5 linked regions of the Ovis aries genome follow. The main gene of each other region encodes a partner of the protein of the gene in region 2 in a complex. Links are inferred from orthologs where the notes say so. Each region holds a gene or a part of one and is shown on either strand. Other genes may lie near its edges. The genes, in order: POLR2G, GTF2F2, ERCC2, GTF2E2 and GTF2F1.

What was found.
Region 1: GTF2F2 (region 2) and POLR2G share a complex: the UniProt entries of both Homo sapiens proteins name them as parts of the TBP-based Pol II pre-initiation complex. The link is inferred for Ovis aries from reciprocal best matches to the Homo sapiens genes GTF2F2 and POLR2G.
Region 3: GTF2F2 (region 2) and ERCC2 share a complex: the UniProt entries of both Homo sapiens proteins name them as parts of the TBP-based Pol II pre-initiation complex. The link is inferred for Ovis aries from reciprocal best matches to the Homo sapiens genes GTF2F2 and ERCC2.
Region 4: GTF2F2 (region 2) and GTF2E2 share a complex: the UniProt entries of both Homo sapiens proteins name them as parts of the TBP-based Pol II pre-initiation complex. The link is inferred for Ovis aries from reciprocal best matches to the Homo sapiens genes GTF2F2 and GTF2E2.
Region 5: GTF2F2 (region 2) and GTF2F1 share a complex: the UniProt entries of both Homo sapiens proteins name them as parts of the TBP-based Pol II pre-initiation complex. The link is inferred for Ovis aries from reciprocal best matches to the Homo sapiens genes GTF2F2 and GTF2F1.

What each region holds. Positions count from the first base shown.
Region 1 is NC_056074.1:37,614,889-37,621,026, forward strand, and holds POLR2G (DNA-directed RNA polymerase II subunit RPB7), read left to right. Parts: upstream 1-2,208; 5' UTR 2,209-2,287; coding exon 2,288-2,299; intron 2,300-2,430; coding exon 2,431-2,540; intron 2,541-3,732; coding exon 3,733-3,892; intron 3,893-4,413; coding exon 4,414-4,464; intron 4,465-4,570; coding exon 4,571-4,636; intron 4,637-4,736; coding exon 4,737-4,937; 3' UTR 4,938-4,999; coding exon of another isoform or gene 5,000-5,098; 3' UTR 5,099-5,238; coding exon of another isoform or gene 5,239-5,252; 3' UTR 5,253-5,456; downstream 5,457-6,138. UniProt on the Homo sapiens protein: Core component of RNA polymerase II (Pol II), a DNA-dependent RNA polymerase which synthesizes mRNA precursors and many functional non-coding RNAs using the four ribonucleoside triphosphates as substrates.
Region 2 is NC_056063.1:15,656,217-15,662,327, reverse strand, and holds the start of GTF2F2 (general transcription factor IIF subunit 2), read right to left. Parts: upstream 3,856-6,111; 5' UTR 3,723-3,855; coding exon 3,657-3,722; intron 1-3,656. UniProt on the Homo sapiens protein: TFIIF is a general transcription initiation factor that binds to RNA polymerase II and helps to recruit it to the initiation complex in collaboration with TFIIB.
Region 3 is NC_056067.1:52,773,478-52,778,917, forward strand, and holds part of ERCC2 (general transcription and DNA repair factor IIH helicase subunit XPD), read right to left. Parts: intron 5,382-5,440; coding exon 5,258-5,381; intron 5,168-5,257; coding exon 5,071-5,167; intron 4,988-5,070; coding exon 4,854-4,987; intron 4,720-4,853; coding exon 4,551-4,719; intron 2,588-4,550; coding exon 2,469-2,587; intron 108-2,468; coding exon 38-107; intron 1-37. UniProt on the Homo sapiens protein: ATP-dependent 5'-3' DNA helicase. Component of the general transcription and DNA repair factor IIH (TFIIH) core complex, not absolutely essential for minimal transcription in vitro.
Region 4 is NC_056079.1:25,876,117-25,881,556, reverse strand, and holds part of GTF2E2 (transcription initiation factor IIE subunit beta), read left to right. Parts: intron 1-2,155; coding exon 2,156-2,263; intron 2,264-3,778; coding exon 3,779-3,961; intron 3,962-5,440. UniProt on the Homo sapiens protein: Recruits TFIIH to the initiation complex and stimulates the RNA polymerase II C-terminal domain kinase and DNA-dependent ATPase activities of TFIIH. Both TFIIH and TFIIE are required for promoter clearance by RNA polymerase.
Region 5 is NC_056058.1:15,922,818-15,928,742, reverse strand, and holds the start of GTF2F1 (general transcription factor IIF subunit 1), read right to left. Parts: upstream 3,623-5,925; 5' UTR 3,211-3,622; coding exon 3,199-3,210; intron 3,115-3,198; coding exon 3,068-3,114; intron 2,584-3,067; coding exon 2,511-2,583; intron 1,313-2,510; coding exon 1,119-1,312; intron 303-1,118; coding exon 132-302; intron 1-131. UniProt on the Homo sapiens protein: TFIIF is a general transcription initiation factor that binds to RNA polymerase II and helps to recruit it to the initiation complex in collaboration with TFIIB. It promotes transcription elongation.

The sequences.
Region 1 (6,138 bases), on a different chromosome or scaffold from region 2:
CACCAGACAGACACAATGGGTATAAATAACTTGAAGAGCATTTGTAATAGTAAACTCTATTAAACAGGAAGTGAGAGTTTTAAGACTCTGACTCTAATTACTATGTGTGTGTGTTTTTTCTCCCATACTTCCAAGCAAATCACAAACACCAGATAAGTGTCCTACAATTTAACTCAGTTCTGACACCATCAGCACAAAGATAACACAGGTTTCCACATGTTAAGATCGCAGCTCTACAAGGCTGCCCTACAAGGCTGCCCTCCCCTTCCAATGGCAATTTTAAGTCAGGCTGTTCACTTTCACTTTTCACTTTCCTGCATTGGAGAAGGAAATGGCAACCCACTCCAACATTCTTGCCTGGAGAATCCCAGGGACGGGGGAGCCTGGTGGGCTGCCGTCTATGGGGTCGCACAGGGTCGGACACGACTGAAGCGACTGAGCAGCAGTCAGCTGTGTTTCTGACTGGGAAAAGGGCGTGGACCTCCCATACTCCATCCGAACTCACCACTCTCCCCAGTTCTCCAGGTCTTCACCAACCCTAGACTCTCTGAACCACATCCACTTGGTTTTATGGAGATTTTCACCGCACTGGCAAGGTTGATTAGTTCATTAGCCGGGTCAGGGAGTTGAGACTGAAAGTTCCAACCCTCCAGTCACTTGGTTGTCTCTCCTGGCTTAGGTGCTTTCCAAAATTCACTTCACTGATAAAAACTCAGGTGTGGCTGAAAGAGGTTTGTTATGAATATCAAGGTATCATTATCATTTAGGCAATTCCAAGGGTTTTAGGAGTTCTGTGACAGAAATGGGGAAGAAGACCAAGTATATATGTGTTGGTGTTTTTATTATAAATATCACAGTTACTTTTGTCTTGTTTCAAATTTTTTATTATGAACAATTTCAAACGCAGAAAAGTAGAAGAAAGTGTAAGAAACCACCATTATCCATCATCTGTCTTCAACGATTATTAATATATTGCTAAACTTGTTTCATCTACGTCTTTGCCTTCTTTAGTATAATTCATTTAATCATAAGTTAAGACAACTAAATTTTTCATAACTGCTGTGTTTAACAACTGGCTTGCAAAGTGCCTGAAATATTAACAGTTGGCTTTTGTAAGGGTCTCCAGCACACCACACCATTGCTCTTGCGGGGAGGCTGGTTTCAAAAGAGGGAAGGAGGGAGTTGAGGCTGTTGAGGCCTGCCCTTTGATCTGCTGTCTGCTTCCTCATGTGGTCTCTGGTGGAGGGGATCCCCATGGAGTCTGAGCAGCTGACCAACAACCTCAATCGTTCTAGGAAATGGGCAGCATCAATGGAAACCGGTGTGTGACAGCTCTAAGGAAATCAGGCTTTCTTGCTTACAATATACTAAAACTTGCTCAGGCAACAGGCGAGTTTGTTCAAGACCCCAGGGACTGTGGAGGCTTTAGAACCAGCCGCCCTTGCTGAGCCTTTGTCATAGGGGCGGGTCTCATGGTGTTTCCGAGACTCAGCAGCCCACAGACTACATGCTCATTCTCGTTGTGCTGAGTTTAATAAAGGGACTATCTGCAAAAGGGGGGGGTAGAGCTGAAGGAACAGGTAAAGTTTGCTCACCAGTTCTACAGGCCCTTGTGTGTAAGGGGGCGGGGGAGGGTGGTTAGAGGAGAGCAGTGACTTGAGGTTCTTTTCACACCGGGAGGGGGCGCTGCCTTCTGGGCTCTGACTAGGCCGGTTTCAACTCCAAACTACAAGAGCCCGGTAATAAATGCCTGAATATGCAAGAGCCTTGGAGTCAGGCATGTTGAATTTGAATCTCGACCCTGGGTGACCTCACCCTTCTGAGCCTGGTATCTTATTTGTAAATGAAAGTAATAACAAAGCCTGCCGGGTAGGGTTGCTGTTTAGATTAATTGAGATAAGGATAGCTTCTTACTATGCTTACTATGTGAAAGCAGTCTTCAACTCTTTGCAGAATGAATAGACTCTGCTAAAGCGCTTTATTTATGCGATCTCTCATTAATTAATTCCTTTTAAAGGTATTTATTAAGCATCTAATCTATGCGAGATACTGTTATGCTTAAGGGAGTTGGGCGCTTTGACGGCTGGACGGAGGGGAGGAGCCTCATGGGTTTCCCCACCCACGACAGCGAAGCCCAATGGGGACCCGTGGAGGCTGTGAGTCCCGCCCACTTTTCGGGGCAGGCCCGGAAACGGGGTTGGAGAGGTTGCTGTATTTCCGGTCGGTGTGGCGGCTCCGCTGCTCGTGAAGCGGTAGACCCGGCTCCTGTTCAGCTTCCTTCGGGAAGATGTTTTACCACGTGAGCAGGGCACGGGGTGGCGGCGAGGGCAGGGTCAAGAGGAGGAGCAAGCGGAAGGCCGGGACTAGGGGCGGCTTCTTGCCTCATACTCCTCCCGCTCCTTGCCCGACTCCATTCCAGTTTCCCCCCAGATTTCCCTGGAGCACGAGATTCTGCTGCACCCGCGATACTTCGGCCCTAACTTGCTCAACACGGTGAAACAAAAGCTCTTCACCGAGGTGGAGGGGACCTGCACCGGCAAGTGAGTGTCGCACCCTCCCTGCCGCCTAAACACTGCGCACACGGCTTTCTATGCTTGCACCCGCTTCCCAGCGCCTACACACCGTGAAAGCTTCTGCTACCTACCCTGGCAAGCCCTCTCACCCTTCCAGGCAGTTAGCTGCTTCCTGCTTTGGGTTCCTACGGTGCCCTCTGTGAAGCTCCATAACAGAACTGCCTTTCCTCAGCCAACATTTGTCATTAACTCTGCAAACATTTCTGAAGCTCCGGCTGTGTGCCAGGACTGGGCCCTGGGAACAATGCAGTGAAAAAGACAAAATGAGGTCAGCCCTTTCTTTATCCCTCATACCCAGGGACCTGGCATGGTACATCTTGGGCCTCACTAAAAGCTTGTTGAATGAATGAATGGGCAGGATAAGGCAGATTGAGAGTTAACCGGAGGAAGGAAGAGGAGTGAGACTTGACCATCTCTGGGCTCTGCACAGAGGCGCTCCGCACATGGTGAAGTAAATGAGGGGGGAGGAGCAGGGCCGCAGAGTACTCAGGTATCCAGCATCAGAGTAAGCTGAGGTGTTCTTTGAACATACAGGTTCCTGAGCCTCATCTCATTTCTACAGCATCAAGACTGGGGACCAGCCCGGGAACAGGCATTTTAATGTTTCTCTCAGGTGATTCTGAGACATCGCCAAGGTTGAGATTAAGGACTGCAGCCCTTTTGGACACTGATTGTGAAATTATGAGAGCAGCGTTTGGCATTATAGCTGCTGCTGATTGTCCTGTCTCCTCTCTTGATCATTAAGCTCTCCTGGGGCCAGGGGGCCGACTACTCCCCCCTCTGTGCTCCCCCTTTACCTCTAGGGTCCGTGACTCTTGCAGCAGATGCTTTTTTGTATTTTTTTCCTGGCTGCGTTGGGTCTTCGTTGTTGCACGAGCTTTCTGTAGTCGCAGCAGAAATGAGAAGTGTGTGGGTTTCTCATTGTGGTAGCTTCTCTTGTTGAGGCACACGGGCTCTAGGGCTTGGGCTTAGTAGTTGCAGCGCACTGGCTTAGCTGTTCTGTGGCGTGTGGAATCTTCGGGGACCAGGGATTGAACTTGCGTCCCCTGAATTGGCAGGGGACTTCTTAACCACTGGGCCACCAGGGAAGCCCTGCTGTGGCAGATGGTTTCAGAGGCTCTTCCACACACAGTGTCTCAGTTTCTCTGCCTCCTTGCAGGTATGGCTTTGTAATTGCCGTCACCACCATCGACAATATCGGTGCTGGTGTGATCCAGCCAGGCCGAGGCTTTGTCCTTTATCCAGTTAAGTACAAGGCCATTGTTTTCCGGCCCTTTAAAGGGGAGGTCGTGGATGCGGTGGTAACTCAGGTCAACAAGGTAAGAGCATCCACAGGGGAGGTAGTGGGAAGGTCCCTCTCTTAGAAGATCTGGGATGGGTCCCACTTTGGTCAAATTCTGTGTCTTTGGTCAGATCACTTCTCTGTGCTTCAGGTTTCCTCACCTGTCAAATAGTATGGTACTGCCTCACTCAGGGGCATGTAAGTCAATAGTGAGTCAGAACAGTAGTAGCCTCCACTGTGGACCAGGTAGTGTGCAAAGCCTCTGACTCTGAAATGAGTGCTTTTATCTCCACGCTGAAGCTTGGAGAAGTTGAGTCTTCTGGCCACGGTCACGTGTCCAACAAGTGTTCAAAACCCAGAAGGACAAGTTCTAGGTCTCAGCTGTTTACTGCTACACTTCCTTAGCTTAGAATGAAAGCTTGGAAAAACAAACACACACATGACAAATTTCAGAGTGGTTTCAGAATATGAAGAACATTGTTAGGAACCAGATAAAGATGGGAGGCTTAGGAGACTGGGGGACAAAAGAAAAAGCAAGGTCTCTCTTTTCCCTTCTAGGTTGGACTCTTCACAGAAATCGGGCCCATGTCCTGCTTCATCTCTCGACACGTAAGTCTAGGCACGCTGGGTGGGTCTAAGAAGGAGACCTGTACTCATGAGAATCTACTGAAGCATCCTTTTCAAGTGCTCTTACCCAGTTTGACCTTCCTTTCAGTCCATCCCATCAGAGATGGAATTTGATCCTAACTCCAACCCACCGTGTTACAAAACGATGGATGAGGTGAGTGGGCAGAAGTTGGTGAGAGGGCCAGGGGAATGAGCCACTCTGAGGGAGGGTATTGGCCTGGGGGTTTCTGAGTGTACTGTTCCCTCCTCCCCAGGACATTGTGATTCAGCAGGACGATGAGATCCGCTTGAAGATCGTGGGGACCCGTGTGGACAAGAATGACATCGTGAGTCTCCTGACTGCCTCCCTGCTCATACCAGGCCGAGCTGTTGCATTCTTGCTACTCAGAGTTCTTGGGGATTTTGTGCTCTTCTGCCCGGAAAAAGAGATGGGTGGGCAGAAGGTCTGGGGCTGAGGGTTAGAGGAGAGCTCTCTGCTTGCTTTGGGTTCATTTCCATTTCTCCTTTCCTCCTGCAGTTTGCTATCGGCTCCCTGATGGATGATTACTTGGGTGAGTTCCAGGGTTGTTGTCTAGAGGAGGGGTGTGTGGGCGCAGGAGGTGAATATGGAATTTAATGCCTGAGCCACTGTTGAAAGAAACTCTCATGTTGTCTGCTTGGAAGACCAAGGACACTTGCCCCCTGGAATGAGAAGTGCATGGTTAGGGCTGTCCCAAGCTCTGGTTCTAACCACTGTGCTTTTTCTGTTTTCGGCAGGGCTTGTGAGCTGAGCACCATGACCTACCTTGTTGGGTCCCTATCTAGGAGGTGTGACTGTCACACTTCCCATGTTGTCCAGAGGCCCAGTCTGGCTGCTGTCGGGGAGGCAAGGAGGGTTCCTTGCCTTCAGAAGACACCTGGCTCTTCTTGTGGCTTAGCAACCACTCCCAGATTTTTGACTGTGCGTTCTAACCATAAAAGGTCCTTGATTTTCATGGAAGTGTCATCTCCTTTCTTTGGCAAGAACAACTCATTTTGTGAAAAGGCTGGAGGGCTGGTGGCTTGCTAGCCCCTCTTTTCTAGGCCTGATGCCTTAACTAGCCTCAGCCACCAGGGGATCTGACTGACCCTCTTGCCAAGGTCTCAAGTTGACCTCACTGAAGGTAAGGCTGTAGCGTTGGGTCGTTGTTGTACAGTCGCTTATCATGTCCGACTCTTTGCAACCCCATGGACTGCTGCTTGCCAGGCTTCCCACTGTCTCCCAGAGTTTGTTGGGTCTTTGATTTTCAGCAAATGGTTGTATCCTTAGAGCGACTCTGGTCTAGGGCCCCGGTCTAGTTTCAGAGAATTTGCCCTCTTCTCAAAGCCTTTAAAATAACCAAGATTGTAGCTGGGAAGGGGGAAGAGGAGACATCAGGGTTGGGGAGGTGAATAGTAGAACAGTAATGATACAGATTGTGGGGTCCCAGTCCTTAGGATGGGCACATAAACAATAGCCTTTGTTTGCTACTCAATTAATATACTAACTGAACATATGAAAGGGCTCATAATCTCATTGGGATAACACAACAAAAATATACAGAAGAAGATTGAACAAACACACCACCCTCCCTCGATGCTGAGTCTTGGCAATACTATTTGCCTAACTTGGAATGTCTTTTCCCAAGCTATCTGCTT
Region 2 (6,111 bases):
CCGCAGATGGCCTTTATCTGCAGCGGCAACGCGGACATGCTTTATTTTCTAATGGATGACACAGCAGCAGCAACGACTGCCCGACTCAACTAGACTCACCTCGACTACAGGAGCTTTTCAGGTGGTGCTTATACAGACCACACCACGACGCACGTGCGCAGCGCCACAAATGATCCCAGCTGCAGGATGTGAGTGGAGTGGGGCAAGAGAGCCTGGCCACCACCACCTGGGCCACTGCTCTCTCCCTACAGCGTTTCACTGGTCAGAAGAGATACAGGTGGTGGACATTCTGGTACACCATCTTCCACTCTATTTGCCTTTTCCTGAACACACTCATCAGCCCTGCCTGGAACTATTTCCCCTCCTCCAACTAATCAACTCCATAGGCTCTTCGTAAATGCCAGCTTCCCCATGAAGTCTTCCCTGATTCCACCCGGTAACTTTTTCACTGCCTAAAACTCTGAGAGAGCTTGTATGTATAACTCTTACTGTAATTTTCCTTTCCCTTGTCTAGTGAGGAAATTAATAATGAACAAATTAATTAGGAACAGAAATGGCCCATAAACTTGCGACACTGTAGGAACTCACATATTTTGCAACAAATGATCCTCAAAGATCAGAGCTCAAGGCATGATTTATAATAAGAAATATGAACGTCTACCGAAAAGATTTAAAATTGTATGCAGTTCTATTCAAATTCTAATTTGAACAGAAAAATTCTAATTTGAACTATCATTAGTAAGACCTCTTTTTAAAGCAATAAAATATATTCAAATGGCCATATAAGAGAGAACACTAAAATTTCTTTAGTTTAGATTTGTAACTTTCTCTTACATCCTCATTTAGTCAGTCACCACATCCTGACAACTTTTGCTGAAAAAGTTTCCCTAACTCCTGAGACTTCACTATCAAATGTCTAGGATCCTGTGATAATTTCCTAATTTTGACTCTGGTTATCTTCTCTTCAAGCTTCCCCCCTGCCCCACCCCGCTTAAAGAATCATTTGTATCCCTGCCTTACTCAAAACCCTCCAAGAGTCTCCTCATTTCCTGTAGACTAGAGTTAAAACTGGAGAAGGCAATGGCACCCCACTCCAGTACTCTTGCCTGAAAAATCCCATGGACGGGGGAGCCTGGTGGGCTGCAGTCCATGGGGTCTCAAACAGTCGGACATGACTGAGCGACTTCACTTTCACTTTTCACTTTCATGCATTAGAGAAGGAAATGGCAACCCACTCCAGTGTTCTTGTCTGGAGAATCCCTGGGACGGGGGAGCCTGGTGGGCTGCCGTCTATGGGGTCACGAAGAGTCGGACATGACTGAAGTGACTTAGCAGCAGCAGCAGCAGTGTTAAAACATTCCCACTTCACAACGTGATGATGTCAGTATACGGTCCCAATCCGCTACTCCAGGCATGATGTCCTCTTTGTTTTCCAGCCCACACCACATTACTGTGCATTCTCACTCCTGCATTTCAGAACCACTCTCCATGGTATGCTACGGAGATACTATGGCCCCCCATCCAAACCTCTGTAAGGCAAACATTTATTGAGCATCTACTGCGCTCCAAGCAGAAACACATCACCTCAAGCTCTCGCCACCTTTTCAAGCTCTTTCCATCTGCAAAGGAGATCTCCTCCCTAATGATCTCTCTCCATCTAGCATGCAGGAGGAGAGAGATACTTGGTTACTCCATCATTTTAAATCACACTGATATCACTGTGATAAGTCAAAGCAGCACCAGAGATTAAGGCTAGGGTTGAAGAATAAGAGTTCATTCAGTCATTCATTCATGCATGCATACATCACATTATCTGAGCTATTTACCTTACACCAAACACAGTTCTGGGTGACAGGCAAGACGCCTACTCTCGCGAAATATGACTGTGCATGTGCTTTGAAGAATGTTAATACAGGCTCAACATGCTAGTGAATAATCATAAGGGCAGGAGCAGGGGACTACAGAAGATGAGATGGTTGGATGGCATCACCGACTCAATGAACATGAGTTTGAGTAAGCTCCGGGAATCGGTGATGGACAAAGAAGCCTGGTGTGCTGCAGTTCATGGGGTCGCAGAGTCAGACACAACTGAGCGACCGAACTGAATCATAAGGGAGCTACATCAGAGAGGAAGACTAGAAGGGCCTCTCAGATTTAACTGATAAACACTCAGACGTGTGATAAAAGCTTTCCAAAAATCTAACAAATAAAGGTCTCTATGTTTTACTTGAGTTTTCAAGACTATCATAATCACATTTTGAATATACACATGTCTTATGAAAACTTCCTAAGAAACAACAGTCCCCAATTTGAAAAAGTAAGGGATAAATAGTGTACTCACTAAGTGAAGAAGTGAAGGTTGCTCAGTGTCTGACTCTTTGCGACCCCATGGACTATACAGTCCATGGAATTCTCTAGGCCAGAATACCGGAGTGGGTAGCCTTTCCCTCCTCCAGGGGATCTTCCCAACCCAGGGATCGAACCTAGGTCTCCCACATTGCAAGTGGATTCCTTACCAGCTGAGCCACAAGGGAAGCTCAGTAAGTACTTACTAAGGGTTAATCAAAATGCTGCCTTTACCAAAAAAAAAAAAAATTACTGACAGTTTCACCTGAGACACAATCGAACTCTAAAAGAACACTCCAGTCCACAGTCTCTCCTTCCCTGAGTTCAGAGCACTCTCACCTCTCCTGGGAACTCCATAAGACCCATCAACCTAAAAGAACACCTTACGAGTGAAAGTGAAGTCACTTAGTCCTGTCCAACTCTTTGGGACCCCATGGACTGTAACTTATCAGGCTCCTTCAAAAGGGATTTTCCAGGCAAGGATACTGAAGTGGGCTGCCATTCCCTTCTCCAGGGGATCTTCCCCACCCAGGGATCGAACCTGGGTCTCCTGAATTGCAGGCAGATGCTTTACCATCTGAGCCACCAGGGTACTCAGAGAACAGTTCTACTTTCTGGCTCAGAAAACTACCCAGAAAGCAAACGCTCAACTTTCTTATAGAGATTGATGACTGAAATCAGTTTCAGCAAGTGGAGATGAAGAAATTCTTCAGCCTGGGATAAAATGCTCAAACTGGGGGGCCATCAAGACAGGAGCCCAGAAAAACCAGGTCGTGGGATAAGGAGATCCATTCCAGGCACGTTCAGACTCTTAGTTGGCTAAAACACACTGGGTGTCCCTGAACTAATGTCCTCGTCTGCAAACAAGCCTACCAACCAACCCTGCCTCTCAAGGTAAGCGAAGTTCTAAACGAGAGAGCCCTAATGAGTTTTAAAAGGTGCACAAAGTGGGACGGTCTCAAGTTACGTGTGTGTGTGTGCGTGTGTGTGCGCGCGCGTGTATGTTAGTTGCTCAGTCGTGTCCGACTCTTTATAACCCCATAGACTGCAGCCCACCAGGCCCCTCTGTCCATGGGGTTCTCCAGGCAAGAACACCGCAGTGGGTTGCCACTTCCTTCTCCCAAAGGAACTATAGAAAGAAAGTGAAGTCGCTCAGTCGTATCCGACCCTTTGAGACCCCATGGACTGTAGCCCACCAGGCTCCTCCGTCCATGGAATTTCCCAGGCAAGAGTACTGGAGTGGGTTGCCAGTTCCTTCTCCCCTCAAGTCACTTAAACTACTTTAAAAGCGAGAGCCACGCAAACCTTACCTTGACCAGCCACACTCCGGTGTTCTGTTTGGCGCCAGTCAGGTCGAGTTCTCCGCGCTCGGCCATGGGTCTGTCGCCGGCGGAGACCTGCGGACTTAGAGCAGCGGCCCCGGGAGCGGGTGACTGCGGGACGAGGGAGCGAAGCACACGGCGAACCCTGGCCGGAGGTTGACTGTGAAGAGCCCGCGGTCCAACTTCCGGGATGCCGGGAGCCCTGGGAAAGAAGAACACACACGGCCGGCAGCGGGGAACTGCGCCTGCGCACTGCGGCCGTCAGTACGGCGCGCTACTGAGGACAAACTTCATCGGCGTGCACCTTCTTGAGTGGGCGTGGCTACTTCCAGGGACTGTGTCTGAGTAATTGAAAACGAGGTTGGGATGGGCGCAAACATCAGCAGTACATATAAAGACCAGGTCAGAGTAACAGAAGAAAGTGTCAAAACAGAAAAACGGGGTTTAAAGAGACAAAGGCTGTCAGTGTATGTCCAATCCAGGCCAAGGAGAGAAAGACAGCATTTGGAGGACAGGTAGGAGAAATGAATAAAATGAATTAGCAGAGTGGTCTTTATTGAAAGGCTACCCTGAGCACCTTCAGTTAAACGAGTAGGGCGCACCCCTTTAAGACTCCAAAACCCAGAGCCCTTTGTTTTTTGTTTGCTATTGTTTTTAATTTATTTTTAATTGGAGTATAAGCGCTTTACAATGTTATGTTAGTTTCTGCTCTACGACAACATGAATCAGCTGTAAGTGTACATAAGTCCCCTCCGTCTTGAGCCCCCCTCCAACCCCACCTCTATCCCACCCCTCTAGGTTGTCAGAGAACCCCGACCTGAGCTCCCTGTGCGCTACAGCAACTACCCACGAGCTATTAATCGCTTTTTACACATGGTGGTGTATACATGTCAGTGGTACGCTGGCAGTCTGTCGCGCCCTCTCCTTTCCCGGCTGTGTCCGCAAGTTTGGAGCCGTTTCATGACGTCAATGACAATAGACATGTAACAGAAAACTCTGATTGTTCAACTCCCCTGCTTAAAGAGTCTCCCCTCTCTCTTCTTGCCTCTAGAATAAAATTCAGTCCTCTCCACATAGGCCCTCACAGTTTGACCTCATCAAAGTGTGGTGTACTCAATGCACCACGCATCTAAGCCCATCTAACCCGTCAGACCTCCCGGAACGTATCAGAATGTTCCTCAATTATTCAGAGCCTCTGCACACTGGATTCCCTTTACTCAGATGCCCTATTCTTCCCGTACTGCCTTCTGATTGGCAGACACCTACTTAGGTTTCAAGATTAATGGAAATGTCTCTTCCTATGAGACCTTCTATCAACTCCCCCAGAGGAAGATAATTTTTTCTTCCCGTCACAGTGTGCGTTACTTAGCACGATGAGCTATAATGCACTCGTTTACATACTGCCTTTGCTTTCTAGACTATGCGCTCTTCCTAGGCAGAAATGGTGGGTTTTCTTGTTGTTTAATCAAAGCATCTGGCACAAAGCTGACACCACATCAGATTTCAGTAGGCTTTGGCTGAATGAACATTTGCATGAAAAGAAACAAACAGTAAGATATTGTAAGAATGGCAAGTGACGTATTGAATCCTGCATCAGAACCATACACAGAATTGAAGAAATTCCATGTCTATTCAGCCTAGGGCTAGGAAAAGCTGTCAGGGCTCTGAGATCAGCTGGGGAAACCTAACAGGAAAAACAGGAGATCAGGAACATGTTGAAGAGGAAGATCACAGTCTTGTGTGTTCTTTAAGGCTCAAGAAATGGCCTTAAAAATATAAAAAGGACAAGTGGATAAAGAGAGCTGCTTTAAGCTTTGGTCAAATAGAAGGAATAAATTGGACTTCCCTGGTGGTGCAGTGGATATGAAACGAATCTGCCTGCCCATGCAAGGGGCCATAGGTTCGTTCCCTAGTCTGGGAAGATTCCACATGCTGCGGGACAGCTAAGCTTGTACGCCATAACTACGGAGCCTGTGCTCTAGAGCCCATGAGCCACAACTCCTGAGCCTGCAAGCTGCAATTACTGAAGCTCTTGTGCCTAGAGCCTGTGCTCCACAGCTAGAGACGCCACTGCAGTGAGAAGTCCATGAACCTCAACTAAGAGTAGCCCTGGCTCACTGCATCTAGAGAAAGCCCACATGCAGCAATGACTCAGCCCAACCCAAAATAATAAATATATAAATAAATAATTTTTAAAAAGAGTTTGACTCCTTTAAAAAATAAAAAAGAAGGAATAAATTGAAATATAAGACCATATGAGAAGAGAATTAACATAACCTAGATCACCCTAGTAATGAACTTCAGAGTAAAGGATTAGGACATTGGCTTTGATCTATGGCTAATGGGAAGTTTTAAAATGTGTGTGTGTGTTTACAGGGATCGGGTACAACAATCATCCTCAGACATTGTTGAATAAGAACAGACTTCTCCTATTTGTCCTTTT
Region 3 (5,440 bases), on a different chromosome or scaffold from region 2:
GTGGTCCGCTGACATCCCCCCGGGGGTGGGATCTCACCTGAAGTGCAGGATGGGGTTGGCAATGGTCGGGGTCCTGTCGTCAAAGGGCTCGATGATGATGGTGAAACCTACAGGGGGCCGGCGGGATTCCTTGAGGGCCAGGCATGACTCCGCCCACTCGGCCACGACCCCCCACTTTCTCCCTCCACTCCACTCCCCCTCCCCTCACGTTCCTCAGTGAATGCCACCAGCCATCAGAAGCCCAACGCTACAACCCAGGCCCCTGAGTCCAATATATACCCCAACCTGCCCGCCCCTCCCTTGGGCCGACACCTGTGTGAATGTTCACAGAGGACCCTGAGCCGGGCACCAAAGGCTCACCCCTCGCCCTCCGGGGCCCACAGGGGCCCACCACGCCCCTCCAGCCAAGGCCTCCAGCCTTCTCCCGCCAGTTTTTGTCTGAGCCGTCAGGAGGCTGGTCAGCTCTCCTCCACTGAGCGGTCAGGAGGCTGGTCAGCTCTCCTCCAAAGTCCAGCTGCCCTCTGAGCGCCTCCCCAGCCCCGCCCAGACCGGCCGCCATCGCCCCCTGCCTGGCCCACTGCAGTCGCTCCTCATCCCCGCTCCCTTCACAGCGGCCAGAGGATCCTTGAACTCGAGTCAGGCCACATCCCTCCCTGCTCAGAAGCCCCCAGGGCTCCCCACGACCCTCCCAGGGTCCAGAACTGTCAGGGGGATCCTGCCACCCCAACCCCCTTCCCTCTGTGCTCACGGGCTTCCTGCCTGACTTTCAAAACCACCAAGGTCACACACACAAAAGAACAACCCCACCAGAGTCATTCCACCCCAGGGCCTCTGCACGTGCCCCACTGTCTGAAAAGCTTCCTGAGGCGGCTGGCTCCTGGTCATTCAGAACCCAGCTCAAATGTCAGCTCCTCAGGAAAGCTGCCCTGGTCACCGCCGACACTGTGTGCATGGTCCAACACAGTGCCATGTTTGTGTCTCGTGAAAACTATCACTTTCTGGAATTATCTTCCGTACCCACATTTACATCTTTGCTACCTGTCTTCCCTGCTAGAATTTAAGTTCTGGGAGGTCAGGAATGAGGTCGTTCATGGTTCCTGCCATCTCCCCAGGGCTGGGCCTGGCCCATTTATTGAGCAAATAAATGAATGAACGCATCCGCATAATCAATTTCACTTCGCAAAGATGTTTTTAAAAATATCATCATGTCCTCTGTGCCAAGCCCAGGACTGGGAACACAGCAGTGACCGAGACAACCCTGGCCTCGCCCTCTCAGGACTCACAGTCCAAGGATAGGGACACAGAGCTGTCTCCAGAGTGACCACTCTGAGTGGGAAGGCTGGGACAGGGGAGCCTAAAGGAGAGGGCCTGGCCCAGCCTCGGAGCCAGAGGGGCTTCCTGGAGGAGGAGGAGACGTCTCTCCTGAGCCAAGAACTGAGGGGTGACAGGGAAGACAGTTGGGAAGATGGGGAAAGCTGTTCCAGGTACAAGAATGTGAGGTGTCGGTAGATGGAGAAGTGGGGAAGAGAGGAGGACGGACAGACCAAGGAGGAGGATGGGATGGACAGAGGGACAGAGGCAGAAAGAAGATTCCAGTGACACTTGCTGCCCATCGGCGCTGGGGTGGGGACGGGCTATCTTCCTGCCAAGGCCAGGCCCGCCCGCGGGCCGTCAGACAGGCTGACCTAGTTTGCTGGATAGAGGAGTAATCCCCGGGGATGAGACTGAGCCCTTGGCAGCTTAAAGCTGATGAGTTGGGGGCAGAATGCTCCCCTGTACCCTCCCAGCAGGCTGGAAATCTGAGCGTCCTCCCCCCAAGGCCCCGCACGACCAGGCACCAAGTCGCGGCCTCTTGACCTCCCACGACTCTCTCTAGCACCCCACCCCGTCCTGGCCCAGCCTCTGCCAGAAGAATCCTCTAAAGCGCAATCTGCCCCTACCTCTCCCTGTTCAGAACCTGCCATGGCTCCCCAGTGCCGCTGGGAGAATGACCACCCCCCCCCACATGCCCCCCAGGGTGAGCGGACCCCGCAGATTCTCTCCTTCCTCTCCTCACGCCACTGCCCACCCCCACCCACCTCCATCTGCAGCCAGAGAGAGCCTTTAAAAATACCCTCCTGAGCACAAGGCTCACTCACTCAAGGGCTGTTTGTGGCTCCCCACTGCCCTCAAAATAAGGCCCAGAGCACTTCCCTGGTGGTCCAGGGGCTAAAACCCTGCACTCCCAACACCGGGGGCCTGGGTTTGATCCCTGGTCAGGGAACTAGATCCCACATGCCGCAACTAAAGATCCTGCACGTCACAACTAAGACCGGCGTGGCTAATAAATTTTAAAACAAATAAATAAAGTCCAAACTTCAGAGGCTGGGCTACCCTCTGGGTACTCTCCCAGGGGCTACCCTCTAGGCCCTGCCGGATCCCAATTCCAGCTGCTGGGGGCCGGCAGAGGCAGGAAGAGGCGAGCTTACCCTTCGCGTAGGTACTGACAAGCGTGGCGAAGTTAGCGAGGAGGGTAAGTGGGGAGAAGTCAGTGAGGTCCGAGATCTCCAAGGTGTGCAAGAGGGAGCGGAGGCGCTCGGCGCAGAACCTGGTGGGGTGGGGGGCGGGCAGGTGAGGGAGGTGGTGGCTGCAGGCTGGATAGCCCCCTCGTCACCGTCAGAGCACGTGCTCACATGCCGTCTCCCCAGCCACCTGGCAGCTCCGGGAGGTCAGGGTCTGGGTCACTCTGTGTCCCCACCTTGTACCACTGCCCATCACGGGGGGCACAGCCACAGGAGGGCACACAGAGCAATAATCTCACAACCCAGAGTCACCGCCCAAATTCTTAGACTGTGAGGAATCTGCCTGTAAGGCAGGAGACCCTTCCTGGGTCAGGAAGACTCCCTGGAGAAGGGCATGGCAATCCACTCCAGTATTCTCGCCTGGAGAATCCCATGGACAGAGGAGCCTGGTGGGCTACAGTCCAGGGGGTAGCACAGAGTCAGACATGACTGAGCGACTAACACTCCAGAGCCACACAGTCCTGTCACATGAGGTAACGCTCTCATACACAGGTTCTCAATCAAAAGGGGCGACCCACGACCACCCCCAGCATCCCACGGTCAGCACGTGAACGCCACACGGCCACAGGGTCACACACTCCCGCCCGGATCTCCACAAGGTCAGTCTCGGCCACAGTCCTCAGTGACACAGCGTTAGAGTTCCGCACGCTCCCAGATGATGGCCTCGGTGACGGCTCCTCCCTCACTGAGCCTGACACAGGCTCTACCAACGGCACACAAGCAAGGCCACCCAGCTTGAGGCAGGGACAGGCCGTGTGTGGAGCGGGAGCACCCAGCTTTGGCGCCAGGCAGACAGTCAAGTTTAAAACCTGCCTCCTGGGACTTCCCTGGTGGGCCAGTGGTTAAGACACCCAATGCAGGGGGCCCAGGTTCAAGCCCTGGTCAGGGAACTAGATCCCACATGCCGAGCAGTGTGCCCAAGAAAAATAAGAAATAAAGTGAATAAAACCTGTCTCCTGTATGTCCTTTCTTCCAGTCTGCCTATCCCCCAGGCTCGATCAGACGGCCCCTGTGTTCCTGCAGCCTCCAGGACACCCCCCCACCCTGAGCCCTGGACTGACCCTGTCTGGGAAAGGTCTGTCTCCCCAACTGGACTGTGAGCCCAGGAGGGCAGGGCCAGGGCCGTCTCCATCATTGCTGTGTCCCCAGCACAGAGCAGGCCCTCGGAACACGGACCCTGTGACTCAGATCCCCTCTGTCCTCACAAGTCTCTCGTGAGGGAAGAAGGGTGAAGCCGCACCAAGGGCTCCCACCTCCTCAGAGGCAGAGCAGCCAGGAGCCTCAGAGCCCCACCGGCAGGGCTTCTGGTCACAACCACACACAGTGCCGGGAGGCTTCCCCTCCACGGGACACAGCGTCCTCATCGGCAGCACAAGGCGGGAACTCCGTGTTGTGTCCCCGGGCCGTGGACTGCGAAGCACTCGGCTTGTCATCAGTGCTCTAGACGGGGTGGGTTCCTGGGGTCGCTGCTTTGTCATTAAACCACCACAGGAACCTGGGGGTAAAGGGGCTGACCCCCTACCCCTTGCACAGAGGAGGAAAACTGAGGTTCAGAGAAGACCAAAGACTGATCCACAGCACAAAGGAAAAGCAGAGGAAGCTCCACCCCCACTCCAGAGCCCCTCATCACTGGCCCTGCCCCCAGACTGCACCTGAGGGGCTGGCTCCTGCCCAGGGGCTGGGGGGCAATGAGAGGCCCTGGCAGGAGGAAACAGGGAGTGAGGGGCCCACAGCATTTTCTCCCAGCTCCCATCCCGCTGGCCCTCATCAGGAGCCCCTCTCCAGGGCCACTCCCTCCATGGCCTGGAGTGAGAACACCCCTGAGCACTGGCCAGGGCCCTGGGGTCTCGCCGCCGCCCCCCTCCCTCTGCACACAGTCTTCCATCACACTTCCCGAGGTCAGTTCTCTGATCATGGCTACTGACAAGGGCGCCCACCCCACATCCCCACCGGGACCCCTCCCACGCCCAGCCCCCGCGGCAGCCGCACCTGAGGGGCTTGCGCTGGATGCAGACGCGCTGGGCCAGGCCGCTGAGGAAGGCGGGCGGGCTCTCCTGGACCACATGCTGCACCCGCAGGCGCCACTTGACGTACTCCAACAGGCGGCGCAGGAAGCCCAGGAAGTGCTCGGCCGTGCGGATGGAGCCGGGCACCGCCTCTGCGGGGAGACCGGCTCAGCCAGGCGCCGGGTGGGGGTCGCAGGGCGGGGGGCGCAGGGGAGGGGACGGGTGGGGAGAGGCGGGGCGGGGGGGGGCGCAGGGGAAGGGGGCGCGAGGCGGGGGCACGGCTCACCCTTCAGCACTTCGTCGGGCAGCACGGGGTTGGCCAGGTGGGCATCAGTCTCCCGGGCGGCGCTGGCCTCCCGCAGCCCCTCCACCAGGCGGCGGTACTCCTCTCGAAGTCGCTGCTCGTCCGTCTCCTTGATCCTGCGGGGAGTCGAGGTGTGGAAGAGCTGGGCCACTTGGGGGGCAGGTCAGGTGCCAAGGTCTACGGGCCGGGGCACCCCCACCTGAGCACCGTCTTCTGCAGGGTCTCCAGGTTGGCCTGGCACCGATCCAGGGTGCGGCGGGTGAGGTTGACACTCATGGAGTCGATGCAGACGTTGTCTGGGGGCCAGGGAGAGGGCCGGGCTCAGGCAAGCGGACGCAGCAGCAGTGGAGGGGCCACCTCGCCTCCCCGCCCCACTCTCTGCTCACCGATGTTGTGGGCCTCGTCAAAGACAACCACGGCCTTGCGGGCCAGCTCCTTGGACACCAGGTCGGCAATCTTGGGGTCCAGCAGGTAGTGGTAGCTGTAGACCACCACGTTGGCGTGCAGGATCTGGGGGCCGAGGGGGCAGGGTCACCCCGGGCCGCCTGCCAGCGCCCACCCCCAGGGCC
Region 4 (5,440 bases), on a different chromosome or scaffold from region 2:
CCACAGGAGACTCTCCAGCATGAGCAGGTAGGTTTGGTTCAGTTTCTTGTGGAGTCACTGCTCCTTTCCTCTGAATCTTGGTGTACGCAAAGTTTTGTTTGTGTCTTTCAAGACTGGAGTCTGCTTCCCCTAGTCCTGTGAAAGTCTTAGAATCAAATCCTGCTGACTTTCAAGGTCAGATTCCCTGGGGATTCTCAGTCCCTTTGTTGGGTCCCCAGGCTGGGAATCCTGATGTGGGGCTTCAAACCTTCACTACAGTGGGAGAACTTCTTTGCTATTATTGTTCTCCAGTTTGTGGGTCACCCACCTGGTGAGTGTGGGATTTGATTTTATCCTGATTGTGCCCCTCCTACCGTCTCACTGTGGCTTCTTTGCCTTTGGACATGGGGTATCTTTTTTTGGTAGTTTCCAGAATCCTCCTGTTAATGGCTGTTGAACAGCTAGTTTTGATTTTGGTGTTCTTGCAGCAGATGAGCACACGTCCTTCTACTGTGCCATCTTGAGCTGGAAGTCCTCCATTCCCAATTTTGTTCCATGTTCAGTTGTAACTGTTGCTTGTTGACCTGCCTACAGGTTTCTTAGGTAAGGTGGTCTGGTATTCCCATCTCTTTTAGAAATTTCCACAGTTTGTTGTGATTCGCACAGTCAAAAGCTTTAGCATAGTCGATAAGCAGAAGTAGATGTTTTTGGAATTCCCTTGCTTTTTCCATGATCCAACAGATGTTGGCAGTTTGAGCTCTGGTTTCTCTGCATTTTCTAAATCCAGCTTGTACATCTGGGAGTTCTTCGTACATGTACTGTTGAAGCCTAGCATGAAAGATTTTGAGCATTACCTTGCTAGCATGTGAATGAGCACAATTGTGCTGCAGTTTGAACATTCTTTGGCATTGCCTTTCTTCGGGATTAGAATGAAAACTGACCTTTTCCAGTCCTGTGGCCACTGCTGAGTTGTCCAAACTTGCTGACATATTGAGTGTGGCACTTTCACAGCATCATCTTTTAGGATTTGAAATAGCTCAGCTGAAATTAAATCACCTCCACAAATTATATCACCTCCACTAGTTTTGTTTGTCAAAATACTTCCTAAGGTGCGCTTGACTTCACATTCCAGAATGTCTGGCTCTAGGTGAGTAATCACACCATTGTGGTTTTCTGTGTCATTAAGACCTTTTTTATACAGTTCATGATGTACTCTGCACATAACCATTTGCATTTCCACCAGCAAAGAAGGAGAGTCCTGTTCTCCACATCCTCACCAGCATTTGGTCTCAACATATTTTTCTTAATAGTTTGTATTGGACATCTTTGCAGATCAGCACATTGCGAACACCTGTATTTTCTTTTTTAACATCTGTATAGTAGCATTGATATGCTGTAATTTAATCAGTCCTCTGTTGATGGGCCCTTGTTGTTCAGACACTCAGGTGTGCCCAACTCTTTGCGACCCCATGGACTGCAGCACGCCGGGCTTCCCTCTCCTTCACTATCTCCTGAGGTTTGCTCAGACTCAGGTCCATTGATGGCTACTTGAGTTGTTTCTAATATTTTCCTTTTAAAAGGAGGCTGCAGGTAACTTTTCTGCTTTTCTATGTTGTAGTTCTTCTAGGGTGAATGCTCAGAATTGGATTTGCTAGATTAAGGGTTTCAGTGCATTTCTGTTGCCAAATTCCCTTCCAAGGAATCATATCAATTTGCATTGTTTACCATCGGTGTGTTAGAGGGCCTGTTTCCTTATAGCCTTACCAATTGAGTTGTCAAATAAGGATTTTTGCCAGTGTAATAGATGAGAAATATCTTAGTGGAAGTTGAGTATCTTTTCCTCCATTGATGGTCATTAGCGTTTCTTTTTTTGTGATTTGTATGTTCCTGTTTTGGGGTCCTTTTCTTGTTAGCTTTTTGGAACTGTTCAAATGTTAGGAAGGTTAACTTTTTGTGATAAGAATTACAAATATTTTTTCTCATTTTATTGTTTGATTTTATGTAGCTTCAAGTTTGAACTCAGTTCTGATTTTATAGTCCATTCTCTTCTTCACTATAATTGTACTGCTTCAAATAATTACACATTCTACATTCCTGAAAAGATTCATTTACCCTGTTATTTAATACACCTAGCATTTTAAAACCGTCTTCAAATAGCAATTTCTTCCTTCAATAGACACGACATCAGCGAGGAGATACACATCCTCTTACTTTAGAAGAAATTTTGGATGAAACGCAACATTTAGATATTGGACTCAAGCAGAAGCAATGGCTAATGAGTGAGGTAAGAATAGTCTTAAATTATCGTAAAAAATTTTTTTTACTGTAAGTAGGGTTTTCATATGCTGAAATCTGATGTTTTTTCTTGAATTGGTATAGGGTTTTTTTTTTAAACATACACATTTTGAGATTGATTTGTTTTTGTATATTCTGTGTATCTATTTTAAAATGTTGGAGACAGTAGCATTAAAGTTGTAAAGAAGTCAGTCACTACTAATTTTTAAGTTTTTACAGAATAATTGATGCTTATTTTGAATTGCTTAATTTGTAATGTATGTATTTGACAGATTGTATTGTTTCTATGTTTTGGGACATTTAAAGCTTGAAGTATTATAGGGAAAGCAAAATATTTTGTTAAGAAATATATTTGTTGTACTGCTACTGCTATTATGAGTTGACAGTGATGTTACTGCATCTGGCAAGTCACTTGGAAAAATAACCACGAATATTTTGTATATATACACACAACATTGGAAGAAAATGAATCTGAAAACAATCAGTGACTGTGTTGATTTGGAAATGAGTAGCACTTTAAAATAAAAATTGAGATATTTGTCTCTTTTCTGGCTAAGTATGAAATGACAATTCATTAAAGCAACTTTCTAAGACCAGTGCTGATTTTAAATGTAAACTTCTAAAATAGAGTTCAGTTTATTTTACCAAGCAAGATAGTCTTGATTTTCATAATGTAAAATGAACTAGTTAGGCAGTATCATTGTGGCTCATATTAGTAATCCACATTTTTGATGCTTTTCCTAATTGTGAAATTTCATGGATTACTGACATTAGGTAAAGGTTATTTTAATTACTGTTCTGTTCTCATTTCTTCTGTTTTTTTATCCTTTCATGGTCAGGCTGGCAGCTGTAGAAGAAAATAAAATGGTTGCTCTTTCTTGAAGAGCTTTCCTTCTGGTATTAGTTATACAACAGGACTGACTGGGAACATAATTATATTCAGAAATTTCTGTGTTCCTTCTCAGTTTCAGTCTCAACTGACATTTTGGTAATTTCGTATCTGTACTTCTCTGGTCCTTTTGAAGTCCTTCTACAGCTGCTAGTGCCTTTTGATAACATGTAGACAGACTGATTTTTGATATGTTCATCCCAGGGGAATGTTTTTCACGTTATAATTCTGATATGTGATACTTTAAGGGTGGGTAGGCAGTGGCTATTGATGTTAATAGGTGTGTTTTTGATTCTCACCTCTTTTGTCTTCTGAAACAATATGGGTACATTTTCTTCAAAGCAGTTCTAATAAACTGGTTTTTTTCTTATCCAGAGATTCTATGTGAATAATAAAGTTTTTTTTTTTTAATAAAAAGTGAGCACCGTGCTGATCTCTGCCTGTTGTTTTAGCCTATTGATAGATAGCCTGTTTTTTAGATCTGTTGATATCCACAAGATACTTTTAATTTGCCTCTGTATTAGGTATTGTTGTTTTTTTAGTATTAGTAGAATTAAATAATGTATGTATGGTATTTCCTTTTGTTAATATGTTGAAATTGTGTCACTGTTTCAGGCACTAGTCAATAATCCCAAAATTGAAGTAGTAGATGGAAAGTATGCCTTTAAGCCCAAGTACAACTTGAAAGATAAGAAGGCTCTGCTTAGGCTCTTGGATCAGCATGACCAGCGAGGCTTAGGAGGGATTCTTCTAGAAGACATCGAGGAAGGATTGCCCAATTCCCAGAAAGCTGTCAAGGTAACCCCTCTCTTCTTTCTACACCTTAATATAACTTGAATTGATACTGTCTTTTGGCTTTAAAAAACATCGACTTAAAAAAAAATTATTTTAAAACCATCTCCATCATCAGTTGAAGATTTGAAATTTGTGTTTTGTGCTATAGAACAGGACAGAGCATAGTCATTTTTGTGTAACTTTGACATCTTTCTCATGTTGTTGTATATAATTGATTCTTCAAAATGCGTCTGGAAAGATTTCCTCAATGGCATTAGTGTTTTTCTTTTAAGTTGTTAATGTTTGTATTCAAGGATTCCTTCAACAGCACTTGGGCACATTGCCAACCCGAGGGAACCAGAGGCTTTAAAACACAAAAGCACTGACTGATAACTTGGTTTTGCATTCTGAAAGGGGCAGTCAGTAAATGTGATAGAGACTATATTTCTAGTTTGAATTTTCGACTCTCTTGGGAAGGCTGCTAGTCTCTGTTAGTCACAGTTGCTAATGACTGCTGCTAATCTGGAAGATTTAAGTTCTTTTTTTTTTTTTTTTTTGCTACCCATGGAGAAAGCTTGCTTCTTTCTCTCCTCTTCTTGGTAGTTCAGTTACACGTGTTGGGTCTTTTTGGTATTGTCCCACTAGTGCCTTGCGGGGGAGGTGGGGGAGGTGTGTGTGTACGCGCATATGTGTGTGCCTGCTTTTGGATTTTTTTTGTCCTATTGATCTGTTGTTAATTATACTGACTTTTCTTTTTTACCTTCAATTTGTTATTAAGCCGATTTGGTAAATTTTTTTTTACTAGTATAGATGTTTTATCAGTGTTCACAATCAGTAGCCAGACAAAAAGGATAATTACAGTTGCAAGCCATAATGGGAACATGATTAACCTAACAATATGCAGTAATTACATACAATTTGAGGGGTCAAGCAGAGTGGTAAGCGGAAGTGCATAAATGCACATGTTTTCATCCTCTCAGCCAGTCTGTGTGTTTTGCTTGGTGCATTAAATCCATTTACATTTAAGATAATTATTGATATGTATAATTTGTTTTGGCTTCCCTGGTGGCTCAGAGGTTAAAGCTTCTGCCTGCAGTGCTGGTTCGATCCTTGGGTTGGGAAGATCCCCTGGAGAAGGAAATGGCAACCCGCTCCAGTAGTCTTGCCTGGAGAATCCCATGGATGGAGGAGCCTGGTGGGCTACTGTCCATGGGATCACAAAGAGTCAGACACGACTGAGTGACTTCATTTACTTACTTCACTTATGATTTGTTTTGGGTTTGTTTTTTTGTAAGTCTTTTTTCCTTTTCTTGTGTTTCCTGCCTACAGAAGTACCTTTGGCATTTGTTGTAAAGCTGGTTGGGTGGTGCTGAATTCTCTGAACTTTTGTTTGTCTAGAAAGCTTTTGATTGCTCCATCAAATCTGAAGAAGAATATTACTGGGTAGAGTATCTTGGTTTTAGATTCTTCCGTTTCATCATTTTAAATATATTGTGCCATTCC
Region 5 (5,925 bases), on a different chromosome or scaffold from region 2:
ATCTGCCCCCTGGACTGGGTGCTCCTGAGCAGTGGAGAGATCTGGCTTGCTCACCGCTGAGTCCCCAGCTCCCAGCCAGGCACAATGTCGGGGGGTTGCAGCCCTTTTCTAGGCGTGGCCCCATCACTCACCTCTCCCACTCCTCCTCAGCCTCCTCGGCCGTGAGCGTGCGGTGCTTGGCCAGCGGCGTGAAGTTATACCAGTTGTGGACAGGGAAGGCCTCGAAAGCCCCATCAGGGCACTGGGTGAAGATGTAGTAGGAGGTGTTTTCTGTCACGCCGCCCTTCTTTATGCCCTTGAACCTGCAGGGAGTTCAAGGTCACAGTCTGTGTGGGGAAGAAGGACTAGTGCCACATCCAGACAACACCCCCTGCATCCCTCTCTCCAGGGCCATCTGGGTTCTCCTAGCAAAACCTGAGGCTGGAAGGCTGGCCCGCTGACTGCCTGAGCCTGGATTCCCACATCTGGAAAAGGTGGGCTTCCTGCCCTCACAGAGCAGACTTAGGGCTCCTGTGCACTATACACGACATGGTCCTTTCTGGAAGGACCTGTTAGATGGGCCCTAAAGAGCACAGTGCTCTAGTGTCAGACCCCTCTGGATTCCCCTCCGGAATCTTCCTTGAACCACTGCCAGCCCAGCTCCCTCCGGGCCTCCATCCTTCCCCTTTTCTGCCCCACCATGTGCAGGCAGTCTTACAGAGTGCCCCTTCCCCACCTACAGCCTTCAGGCTGCCCTGGGCCCCAGCCTACCCACAGTCCCGCTGTGCCCTGGCACTCTCAGCCCTCTCAGTCCACCCACTCTGCCACTGTCGTGCGCTGTGACAGTCCCTGGGGCTCGATGTTTCACGCCTTCGTGCTCGCTGTTCAACCAGAGTGCCCTTCATTTCCCTTAATCTCTGTCTCCCCCATGGTTCTCAACCCTCAGCTCTGGGCAGTCCTTGGCTGGGCGCAGGAGGACGGCAGGCCGGGATTCCTGCATCCCTAGCACACACTCGAGCAACCCCTTGGCTCATCTTCCCCAAGAAAACCCCTTCATGGGTGGATGAGCTGTCACCCCCAGCTGCAGGACCTAGAAGTTCGGCCAAGGGTACCGGGGAGTGGCGGGAAGGGGCACTTACTTTCGGCCTGATTTACCGTTGACCCGCAGCAGCCAGGGCTGGTCCTCCGGCCGGAACTCCTTGAGGACAATGCCGTACTTCTTCCTCCGCGCCTCCTCCCGGAGCTTGCGGTTGAACTCGCTGCCGGCGCCCGACTCCGGCATCTCCTCCTCTTGGTAAATCTTCTTGTTGCTCAGGTCTCGTTCCAGCCGGGCCTGGGAGACGGAAGGCGAGACTTCTCATCAGGCAGCCTGCTCCCCATCCAACAACACCCCTTCCTCCCCGCAGGCTGAGCGGTGGACCCTCTGAGCCAACTTCCCGCTTGGCGAAAAGAGGCTCTGTGAATGTGGGCGAAGGGATCTGTCTAAAGCCCGCTGCGATGTCTGTTTTTGCAGCTTTTTGAAAGTTTGAAGTTATTTCCAAATGAAAAATTAAAAAAGAAAAAAAGAAAAAAAGACACCCCAGAGTCCAATAACTTCTCGTAACCTGTTTGCTGCAAACCCCATCACAGGCTCACCTGGTCCAGAGCCTTCACCTCCGCCCTGTTCTCCCTTCACTTGCCCTCGACCCCACAGTGGACAAATCTCTTTACAGACTGTTTGTAACCCTTTAATAGCCTCTGCTATGGATGAATGTTTGCATGCCTCCAAAATGCATTCTTTTTGGCTGTGATCTCGGACTTCTGGAATCTTAGTTCCCCCACCAGGGATGGAACCTAGGCCCCCAGCAGTGAATGGGCTAGAGTCCTAGCTGGAGTCCTAACCGCTGTATCTACAGGGAATTCTCCCCAAATGCATATAACCTAATTTCCGGTGTGATGGTATTTGGGGGCGGGGCCTCTGATAGATGATGATTAGGTTGTGAGGCTGCAGCCTATTAGGAGTGAGATAAGTGCCCTCTTTAACAAAGGATTCCAGAGTGCTGTGTACCCAGGTGAGAGTACAGTGCAAAGGCACCAGCTATGAACCAGGACACCAGATCTGCTGGCGCCCTGATCTTGGACTTCCAGCCTCCAGAACTGTGGGAAATAAATGTCTGTTGTTTACAAACCACCCAGTCTCTGGAATTCTGCTAGAGCAGCCTGCAACTAAAACAGTTTCTAAAGACCGCTCTGGAGTCTCCAACAATAGGGGCTCTGAGTCACCTCTAGGAGGCAGCCCCCTCCTCTCTTGCCCAGATAGATCTCGACCCAGAATGCCCATCAGTGGGCACAAATTTCAGAAGAAAGCCTCCTGCAAGGCCACACATATCTTGTCCTCAGGGGTGCCCAGAGGCTCAGCCTGGGCCTTAGTTATCATTTATCTGCACGTGGGGAGAGGGGAGGATCCTAAGCCTTAGTTACTATCACAACCAAGCAACTATTACATCAAATCCAGGGTCAGGTTTTCTCACAGCCTCAGAACTCGGACTTACCTGATTCCAAGTAGTGAGGTTGACTTTATCGGCTGCATTGAAAGCCATGATATTGTATTTTTTGGTGGTATTTCTGGTATGGGCAAAAAGAGGCAGTGCTCAGTTAATCATTCATTAATTCAGCAAACCCTCCCAGGCTCAGTTCTTTGTGCTGGGCAACGCTGGGGACCCATGAAAAAAACCCCAGAGATCAGTTAAGGACAAATATTTCTGGGAACTCAAGATGGGATAATTGGGAACTCAGCCCTGGGCAGCGGGGTGGACAGGCAGGGACTGCCTCCTGAAGGAGGAAAATACTGTAACGGAATTTCGCAGGATCAAAAAGAATCCACCCAGTAGAGTCACTGTTGCCATTCCTGGCTGAGGGAATCCTAGGCAGGCAGGCTGCGTGTTACTGTATATTAATGTACTTATTCATTCACTCTGTTAAAAAAACAGTGATGCCCCAGAGGCCTCGGCTCAACCCCAGCCCTGGAAGAAGAATCAGACACTCCTGGAACCTCGAGATTTTAATCCTTTTCTGGAGGGAAAGGGGGTTGGTAGGGTCAGGGACTTACTTGGGAACTCGGACGACATACTCAGTGACATTCTGGCTGCTGGGGCCCTGAGGGGAGAGAAAGCAGGACAGTGAGTGAGAGGCTACAGAGGCCACCGGGACCGCAGCCGAACCGCCTGGCCGCACACTTACGAGGGCCGCCATGGGCGATGGGCGATTGACCCGGGTCTGATCAGAACCTTTCTTTACGCCTCCCTCCGGGTGCGCGTCCCTCGGAGGCCGCCCTCGAGGTGTCCGGTCTCCGGCCCGGGATACAACCGATCCTGGGGAAAGCTATCCGGAGGCGGCACTGGGTCGGCGATTGGCTTGAGACCGCCTGTGCCAAGTCTGCGCCTGCGCAGCCGCCTAAACCGGAATCGAAATCCTCCCGCAGGCCTAGGGGAAGCAACCTACTCCCAACTGAAGGTAGCGCCTTCTGTATCTAGCGCTCTGGCGGCCCGCAGTTTGTATAGCACGATAATCCCATCAGGCCGATAACCTCATCACGCGGATAACCCAAACAGGTGACGTGAAGACGCCCCCAGTGACATTACATCTCAGGACCGCGGGGTATCTTGGGAAGGAAGGGAGGAAACCCGCCACCCTCGCGGCCTGTCGGGCCATTTGCGCATGCGCTACTTTACTGCGGAAGTGAGTCCGGGGAGGTCGCGTTACCACAGCAACCGAGGCCTCCTTGGCAGCCGACTGCTGCGGCTCTACCTGAGCCTCTTTGGGGTTCATTTCTCCCCACAGCCCCCGGGGGTAGCCCTATCATCTCGCCAAATAATCGGGCCAGGGGCCCTTGTGACGTTGAACCGAACTAGGAGAGGTCAGGGCCTGTGTAGGGGATGGAGTGCGCTCACCCCACGGGCCTCAGGCGGGTTGGGTTTGTGCAAGTCCAAACTGCCCCAAATAGGCAGGCCCCTGAGGCCCCAGAAGAAGGGAAACATCGCGGGGGTGGCTGGTTTACTCGGGAGAAGGGAAGGAGGTTATGGAGGGCGGGAGAATGCAGGTAACCCCTCCTCAAGTCCAGGTGTGCACACGCCCTTCCTCCCGGCCCCCTACCTTATTGTAACACAACTTCGCATGCTCAGGGTCAGGTATTCAGTGATCCATGTTAGCACCTGCTGGGCTTCCCTTGTGGCTCAGCTGGTAAGGAATCCACCTGCAATGCGGGAGACCTGGGTTTGATCCTTGGGTTGGAAAGGTCCCCTGGAGAAGTGAAAGGCTACCCACTCCAGTATTCTGGCCTGGAGAATTCCATGGGTCACAAAGAGTCGGACACGCCTGACTGACTGACTGACTGACTTTCACTTTTAGCACCTGCTGCGCTGGATTCTGGGAAGTCCGTGGGGAATGTAGGAAGCCAGCACTATAAACTACAGGTCTCCATAGATGTTTCTGATAGTTATGGACATTTATCTACTCCTCACTTGCTACGATTATGTCAGAAACTATGCCAAGTACTAGAAATACAGGGACAAGGAAGACAAACAGATTCTGTGTTCTTGTAGTACATAGTCTGACTGGGGAGACAAACAAGAACAAGTAAACGGGCAGACTCATTACTGATAGTGACCATTACTGGAGGAAATGGAATTCTTTTTGTGGGGTGGTGGGGAATTAGGGTTTTGAGACTGGGAACAATGGGGTGGGAGGCTCTTTAGACAGAGATTAGCTGAAGGGTGAGCTGCAACCTGAAGGGACTGCAGTATGGACTTCCAGCAGGGGTGGGGGTCGGGGAGGAGCAACAGGGAGGTGATGAGTACAAGGGTCTGAAAGGAGGCCACTGGGCTGAAACAGTAAAGAAAGGGGAGGGTGGTATGGGATGAGACTGGAGGGGTGGACAAGTCCCTGTCCGTCTCAGAGCCTCAGTTTCCTCAACTGTAAAAGGGGTGATTCTTCGAGGAGAGGCTGCACACAAAGGGCCTGACCTGCTTGGGTTCACACCTCATCCACATGACCTATAGCAGTATTAATGGGTGCCGTGCCTGGATATATCACTGGGTGTGGACACACACCCCCAGATACCACCCTAGGGCAGAAATAGATCTTCCAGCAGACATGTGTCCAGCGTAACCCATTGTAACTGTGGACACAATCCCCTCAGCACCAACTGACCCCTACAGGCACCAACCCCTCTCCCCTGTCCCTCTTCCTCAGGCACGCAGACATCCTCAAGTCCCCCTGATCGTCTTTGTGATGGGCGGTCCAGGCTGCGGAAAAGGGACACAGTGCAAATACATGGCAACCAAGTATGGCTTCTGCCACATGGGGCTGGGCCAGCTGCTGCAGCAGGAGGCCCAACGGGGCACCTGGTGGGGCCAGAAGATCCATGACTTCATGCTGCAGGGGATCCTGGTGCCAACAGTGAGAGCTCCCAGGCACGGCAGCAGAGGGATGAGGGGGCCCATTGGGAGGGGCTTCCCAGGAGGATGTAGGAGCTGAGGGGCCTCTTGAGGGCAGGGGACACTGGCTGCTGCTTTGTCAACTGAGCCTCTGTGTCCTCAACTGTAAAATGGGAGAGGAGCTGGACCCTCAGCAGAAGGCTGGGGTGTGGGGTGAATGACTTCGTTCCTATAAAGGGCTTGGCAGAGTGCCTGGTGAACGCACTTAGTGAACTTTGTTTATTGTTTGTCATTAAGTTGTGTCAGAGTCTTTAAGACCCCATGGATTTTATCCTTTCAGGCTCCTCTGTCCTTGGGATTTACCAGGCAACCCACCAGAGTGGGTTGCCATTTCCTCCTCCAGGGGATCTTCATAACCCAGGGATCAAACCCACATTTCCTACATTGGCACTGGGATTCTTTACTGCTGAGCCACCTGGGAAGCTCTCAGTAAACTTAGCTAGTATTTATTCACTTTGTGACCTTGGGCATG